Linked DNA regions of Rattus norvegicus. The main gene of each other region encodes a partner of the protein of the gene in region 2 in a complex. Links are inferred from orthologs where the notes say so. Each region holds a gene or a part of one and is shown on either strand. Other genes may lie near its edges.

Region 1 (4,194 bases), on a different chromosome or scaffold from region 2:
TCACTTCGGCAGCACATATATTAAAACTGAAAACACACACAAACATTATAAACAAAGAAAAAGAAATGACACAACTCCTTATCCTAATCAGCACTATTACCAATTAAAGTGGGTTGCTCTAAATTGTGTGTCTGTTCACTTTTTATGTGTAGATGTGTCTATGAACTCCTGCAGGTCCTCAGGTAGTCCAGAAGGTGTTAGATCCCCTGAAGCTGGAGTTACAGGTGGTTGTAAGCGGCCTCATTCAGGGATGGGAACCAAAGATGCAACAAACTCAAGGCTTTTCACACTAAAATAAATAAAAGTTGTACATTTTTAAAAAGATTGATTGATTGATTGATTGATTTCATGCATGTGAGTACACTGTCGCTGTCTTCAGACACACCAGAAGAGGACACTGGATCCCACTACAGATGGTTGTGAGCCACCACGTGGTTGCTGGGAATTGAACTCAGGACCTCTGGAAGAGCAGTCAGTGCTCTTAACCACTGAGCCATCCCTCCAGCCCAAAGTTGTACATTTTTTAGTATCTATAAAATACAAGATCACTTTTCTATTTCCACACTATATCCATATTTCTGTACCATTTTTTAAAGGATTTAACATATTAGACTTATTTTACTTTTGAGTATCTTTGCCTACATGTGTATATGTGTGTGCTTGTGTGTCTGTATGTATGCTGAACGTGTGTTTGAAGCCCAAAGGTGTCAGAAGAAGCAGTGGATCCCCTGGTCCGTAGTTAAGGATGGTTGTGAACCAACATGAGGGTGCTGGGAATTGAACTCGATCGAGTCCTCTGCAAAAGCACCAACTGCTCTTAACAGTTGTCAAGGCACCCTTTCTGCTCCTTAAAATGTGTTTTGTTTTTTTTTTTTTTTTTTTTTGGTTCTTTTTTTCGGAGCTGGGGACCGAACCCAGGGCCTTGCGCTTCCAAGGTAAGCGCTCTACCACTGAGCTAAATCCCCAGCCCTAAAATGTGTTTTTAACCAGCTTCATATATAGTTTTCAGAAACAAGTCATACAGAAGACACAGGAGGCATTCAATAAGTTTATCAGCAGATTACCAGAGTCAAAGGCTGGAAAAGAAGGCATGAAGACAAATTCCTTGGCACACCACTCCAGACAGAATGTTACTAATATGGAAAGTGGCAAATACTTAAGCCTCAAAACAGCATCTCCCTCTGAAAACGAAGTGTACAGGCATCCCCAAGCACAGAAGGCCCTTGCACACTCGCAAGGCACGTTCAGAAATCCTTCAGGTCTCAAGTACAATAACCCTAACTTTTCAAAGATTTCAGGTTTTGCCTTGTCAACAGGAAGTGAGCTTCTAGTCTCAGTATCTGATACAAAGAATTCCACTACTTCATTTGCTTCTACTGCAAACTGTTAGTTTTTACACAACGACAGGAACTACAAGCCAAACCACTGCATACAATTCACTTACAATCGCTACTAAACATAAGCACGCATAGCATAGTAAAAGTGCCAAGAATTTCCTGATAAATTAAGAAGCAATTTTACGTTATGACCCAAAGATTAAATAATGCTTGCCAACCTACTTTATTCATACTCTTCTAAATATTAACTCATGATAGAAATCTCAGAACATAAGCAACGATGACACTACTGCGTTCAAAGGCAACAGTCCAAGAACATTTGGAGGAAGAGAAGTATTTAAGACATTTCCCACTGAATTTCCCTATGAATCATTCGTGCTTTATAATAACCAGTATACATTATCCTGAAGCAGAAGTAAATATGAGGAAAAGCCGGACTTGAAAATCGCCAAGTACGCAGATTTCCTCCAATTAAAAGAATTTTAAGATGAATTTTATCAAACCCTCAGCAATCACTCCCCGCACTGTACAAACGTGACTCGTGACAATTTTTTTAAATAAATAAAAGGCACACCCTCTAGGATGAACTGACATAATCACCCCCACCCCACCCAACCCTCCAACGACACACACCCCGCTTTTCCTTCCCTGCCCATTCCTCACGCAGCTGTCCGGATCTCATCACACTGGGCTCAGGGGCGACAGAGAATTCTGGGGTCCAAAGCGACCAAGGGAGGCTACGGGATTTCCAGGAGGACTTCAGCCAGGGCCGATCCCGGCCAGGGAAGGCTGAGGGGGGTCTTAGGACCAACAGTAGCCAAAAGAGGCAACGAGGAGTACAGCCCGACCAAGAGAAGACTGCAGCGAGTGGAGCCCCGGAGGAAAGACTGCCGGGAGCACGACCCGGCCTGGGAAAGCCGCCGGGGTCTAGGCGCAAACCTCAGCCAGGGCAGGTGGTGGGGAGCAGAGCTGGGCCGGGCAGGCTGAGAGAAGCAGAGCTCGGCCAGGATAGGCTTTGGGGAGCGACTGCACGGGCAGGCGGCGGGGAACGCCGCCGGTCCGGGGCAGGCTGCCGGGAGCGCAGCCGGCTGGGCACGCGGGGAGCGGCTTCAGGGCCGGCGGCGCCCGGGGCGGCCCTGCTCCTCACCCATTTTCTCGCGGCGGCCACTTCCTGTATCGCCGCGGCTGCGGCTGCTCGGGCCAGGGCGGAGGGTGGCGGAGTGGGGCAGCTCCCACCGCACCCAGCCTGCCCGTCGCCCCAGCGGTCCTCGCCGGCCGCCCAAGCGCCTCACCTGTATGTAGTTGTTTTCACAGTAGTCCGCCACCCGGGTCAGGTTCTGGTAACTCTCTATCAGCGCCCTCTTGCCAGACGGGATCTCCTCCTCTAGTAACATCTGCAGCTCTGCCATTTTCCACCCCTCCGCATCGCTTCCTCTCGCGTTAAAGAGACAGAGGCAGCTGAGTCCGACGGGGACCGAAGCGCCGCAGAGATCAGACACTAACCACCCACCCGCCCTCCGCCGGGTATTGTGGGACTGCACCTCCTCCTCTTCCTCTTTACTCTCCCCGCCCCCCTCCACCCAGGACGCACAGCCACCATAGACTCACTTTCTCGCGAGAATCATTTCCCTCTTACAACGAGAGTTTCCACCACGCCCTCTATAGCAATCCTTTCTGGGAATTGTAGTTTCTTCCTGGCTAGGCCGCGCATGCGTTTAAGGTGCTTCCAAAAATCCTGAAAAGAATTTAAAGAACCAAGACCTATACAGTCTTAAATCTAGACTCTTCTCAAGATCCCAGAAGATGGCGCCACAAGGTGATCTAAGCAGCGAAATTATTCCTATGAGAAAACTTTGAAAATTTGCAGAACTTACTTAATTAGGAAATGTCAGTAAGTCAAAGGCATCCAATCAGATAACAATTAAAAACAGAAACTGCGAGACCTGACTTCCTCAGTTTTGTGAGAGACTTTGCCTCAACTTATGCCCCAATTCATTTAAAACCTAGAAAACTATCAATTCTCAGATGTACATCAAGCAGTGTGCTTGCTATGGCAGAAACAAATGGGGCAAGGATAGTTTTCACGCTTAAGAATTTAAAGAAAGTAAATAAATAAATCCTTTTTTAAAAAAGAATTTAAAGAAAGCTGGGCGTGGTCGCAAACGTCTATGGCTAGCAGAGGCGATGGATCTACTTGAGTTCAAGGCCGGCCTGATTTAAAACCGAATTTCAGGACAGGGAAAAAAATTAATGAAGAGTGGCTGCACATCCATTATCCCAGCACTCGGGAAACTGACAATGAACTGAAAAACAGTCTGGGTTATAAAGGGTGATCATGTCTAAGACAGAGAATGAAGGATGGACAAATGCGAGGATGTTAACATTTAAAATAGACAATTTTAGGGCTGCCAATATGACTCAGCAGATAAAGGTGCTTTCTCAATTCAAACCCCAGAACTCATATGGCGGGAGACCAAAACAGCAGACTCCTACAGTTTTCCCTCTGACTGCCACACTACTCCATGGCAAAAGACTAGCGCTCTCTCTCTCTCTCTCTCTCTCTCTGTGTGTGTGTGTGTGTGTGTGTGTGTGTGTGTGTGTGTGTGTACATTTTTAAATATATAATTTCAGAACTTTCCTCTTCTAATTTCTTTTCTCATGCCTTCCTATTCTTTTTTAAGTAATGCACATATTTTTGTCTTACGTTATACAAAATTCTTTTGTTCTCATTTCTTATCACTTGCTCTGCAAATGTTTCAAAGGGTCTTTGACAGTATTTCAAGCCGTCATATCACCAGAACTATTAAATTATTTTGAAGTAATAGGCCGTGAAAAGAGCTGCCCAAATTTAAATATT
Region 2 (3,500 bases):
TCTTGTTGGCTACCTCATTGCAGCCTCTACTGTTTGTATCTCCCCACGTGCTAGTCCTCCTAGGGACCACATAGCCTAGGTGGAGATTGCAGTCTTCAGGTAAATACCTCCTTCCTGGATGGCCCATCTCCCCTCTCATATCCTTGTCCCTATGATCCTGTAGGAGCTAGATGGGCTCTTAGAAATCAACCGTATGACGCACAAGCTGCTGAGTAGGTACCTCACACTAGACAGCTTTGATGCCATGTTCCGGGAAGCCAACCACAACGTGTCTGCACCTTATGGAAGAATCACCCTCCATGTCTTCTGGGAGCTAAACTATGACTTCTTGCCCAACTACTGCTATAATGGCTCCACCAACCGGTAAGCATGCCATTAGCGTCACAGACATGTTTGGATATCCTGGTTCAGTTGCATCTACAGCCGGTGATCTTCAGCCCTGACCATCTGCATACTTCCCCCTTTAACTCTGCCCTCTTTTTCCTCCATGATTCTCATGTTCTGGTCTCTCTCAGGCCTTCCTTGTTTCTTCCGTTTACAAGGCTAGCCCTGGGCCAGCACTTGGGCAGATGGTCATCGCTTTACCTGTAGAAATAGAATACTGGCAGAAGGCCAGCACTTGAGGCAGGAGAGCCAAGGTTCTGCCAACACACTTAGTTGTCACTATAGACAGAATCTCCTGTGCCATGGAATGGCTGCTGGAACTGTACTGCCTACTTTAAGTCTCCCTTATGGCAGAATGTGGCAGGCGATTCTACTTTTCAGGTTTCTATCTGAAGTGTTGAGGGTCAAAGTGAGAGTGTGGTAATGTCTTTCTTCCCACTTACCATCTTGCTGTTGTGTTAATGAGAGTAAAGTCTGGTGGTAGAGTGGTTGAATGGTAACCTTACACCGGTCATCAGAGTAGAATCTCCTCAGGGCCAGAGTGGTCTGTTTGTGAGATCACCAGGAACAGGGTATTCTCTTAAGATGATAGGTTCCACCACTGGTCAAGTTGACTTCTGTGTCTGATTAAGGTTGTTGCTCCCAAGTTTCTCCACTGTCTAGTCACTACTTTTCTGTTTAAATTTTGTAAGTAATGTGTAGCTGAGTAAGTAACTCAACTGAGACTACGTAATAGCCATACTTTGTTGGCATCTAACCCACTAGTGTCGGCATCTGTGACAAATGCTTACCTTGCTCTTATTTGTCCCTGGGTGGTTGCAGAGTGAGTTTCTAATCTCTTCATTCCTCTGAGAATATTAATCAGCATTCTACAAGTGAACATTCTTCTCTTTGGTGATGATTATAAGTATAATCAGGAACTCCATCCTAGCGTTTGTATCTTCAGTTGATTTCTGCAATCAGCACCGAGAGCACCTATTACAGTGGTGTGTGTGTATTCCCACTGTTTTATAAGTACCACTTTATCTTCTACCACAAGATGGAGCGTCTGGGTAATTGGTGTGCTCACCTGTACTAGGATGTCAGTGTTCTAGAGCCATTTGGTGACAACAGTAGGGAGTACTCACAGGCTTGCTGTTTTAGGTTTCTATGGCTGCTGTTAAAAGAGAAGTGTTCTCTTACAGTCCAAAATAAGGTGTCAGCAAACCACACTTCCCCTTTAGACTCTGGGTGGACTCTCTGCTTGCCTCTCGCTAGCTCGTGGAGCAGCTGTCTGTTTCTGACACTCCGTGGCTTGTACCAGTATCATTCCAGGCTTTGCATTTCCCAGGAAACAGTATTCTTCTGAACCTCTCTCCGCCCACCCTCCTTGTAAGGACAACAGCCATATAGATCGGGGCCTTACTCTCAGCTCCTGATCTTATCACCGAGAACATGTGTAATGACCCTGTTTCTATCTCCTGTGCTACAGAGAAGGAGGACTCAGATATCTTTTGGATGGTCACATTTTAACTCGTAGTATTTATGAATACTTGTGTTTTTTTCTTATACAGTTATCTATAAATGAAAACATTCTGATATCTCCAGTTTCATTTCAGTGCCACAATATTCATTTGACTCATCACTCAGTGTTTTTGGACTTCCTCAAAAATGGAAAAGATGCCTTTGCTCATTATGATATTGGCTTGTTCAATTAGACAAAAAGCAAACTACTTTAAGAATTGCTGGTTCTGACTGCTGTGAAACAAACATTCCCACTATAGTTCAGCGTTTGTTTTTGTTATTTTGGCTGTAGATGAAAGTATGCAGGCAATGCTGTGTTAAAGTTTTGTGCATGATGGAGGAACAGTCTATCTTTCTTTAAATAAGAGGACAACTGGACAAAACACATACGTCCCTATTTTCTAATACTAGTCTTCTGCTTAAAGGAAACATGAGAAGTGTCTTTTGACTGTCCTACCTTTCTGTCTAGAAGCACATTCTGAACAAAGAACAGAGGTCAGTTGGTGTAGAGCTTGGGAATCCTGCTTGCAGGAAGAAACACAGTAGAACTTGGAGAAGTTCGCACAGCTGGAATTTATAAAGTTAAATATGGAAGAGGTGGAACTCTCAGAAAAAAAAAAAAAAAAACAGCTCCTGAAACCAGCATGGGCTCCACGGTGTTGGGGAGCTATGGTCAGTAATTCACAGAGCTCGCAGCAGTATGGACCATTTGCTCTCCTTGTCAGCACAAATTTAGAAACTTACTCAGCACCCAGACACTTCATAGATTCAGTAGAAGTCTATTGCCTTCGTAGTAGGTCTTAATTCTAAACTACTTGCCTTTCCATAGAAATACCATAAACATACCATTATCTGCTTGATATGCAGATAAACTTAGCTCCCTGCTGCCTCAAAAATCAGAGACTTAAAAAACAGAAAACAAGACTTAAGAAGATATCTCAGTGTCCAGCATCCAGTCTGGAATTAGGTATGCTCAGTATCTGAAAAAGGTGACCTATAATGAGGAGAAAAATCAGTTCATAAAACACAAGCAACAGAGATGACAGTGCCAATGTGGTCAGAAGGCAAGAGTGTTAGCCATTTTAAGTATTAGTAAAGATTTAAGAAAGTCGAACGTAAGAGAACGTGATGGTTTACATTTGCTTGACCCTGGGAGTGCACTATTAAGGAAGTGTGTCACTGTGGGGTGGGCTCAGAGACCTCCTCCTAGCTGCCTGAGGATGTTCAGTCTGTTCTTGGCTTCTTACGGATGAAGATGTAGAACTCTCAGCTCCTCCTGCACCATACCTGCCTGGATGTTGCCATGCTCCAGCCTTGATGATAATGGACTGAACCTCTGAACCTGTAAGGTAGTCCAAATTAAATAATGTCCTTATAAGAATTGCCTTGGTCATGGTGTCTGTTCACAGCAGTAAAACCCTAACTAAGACAGAGAGATAATGCTTTACAGAAGAGAATGGATTGAATTAATACTGTAAACACAGTACCGGAAGTGAAAATTCCATTTGCTTATTTAAATGTTAGATTCTGTTTTGCAGAAAGCCAGTGAATTTGAATAGCTTCTGCACACTGGCATGATGTTACACGTTCTTATAGTTTGTAACTCTAGTAAG

Evidence for each region. Proteins that work in one complex are often made in the same cells at the same time.
Region 1: Cyfip1 (region 2) and Abi1 share a complex: the UniProt entries of both Homo sapiens proteins name them as parts of the WAVE2 complex. The link is inferred for Rattus norvegicus from reciprocal best matches to the Homo sapiens genes CYFIP1 and ABI1.

The regions. Positions count from the first base shown.
Region 1 is NC_086035.1:90,085,018-90,089,211, forward strand, and holds the start of Abi1 (abl interactor 1), read right to left. Parts: upstream 2,811-4,194; 5' UTR 2,747-2,810; coding exon 2,630-2,746; intron 1-2,629. UniProt on the Homo sapiens protein: May act in negative regulation of cell growth and transformation by interacting with nonreceptor tyrosine kinases ABL1 and/or ABL2. May play a role in regulation of EGF-induced Erk pathway activation. Involved in cytoskeletal reorganization and EGFR signaling.
Region 2 is NC_086019.1:115,916,320-115,919,819, forward strand, and holds part of Cyfip1 (cytoplasmic FMR1-interacting protein 1), read left to right. Parts: intron 1-163; coding exon 164-363; intron 364-3,500. UniProt on the Homo sapiens protein: Component of the CYFIP1-EIF4E-FMR1 complex which binds to the mRNA cap and mediates translational repression. In the CYFIP1-EIF4E-FMR1 complex this subunit is an adapter between EIF4E and FMR1.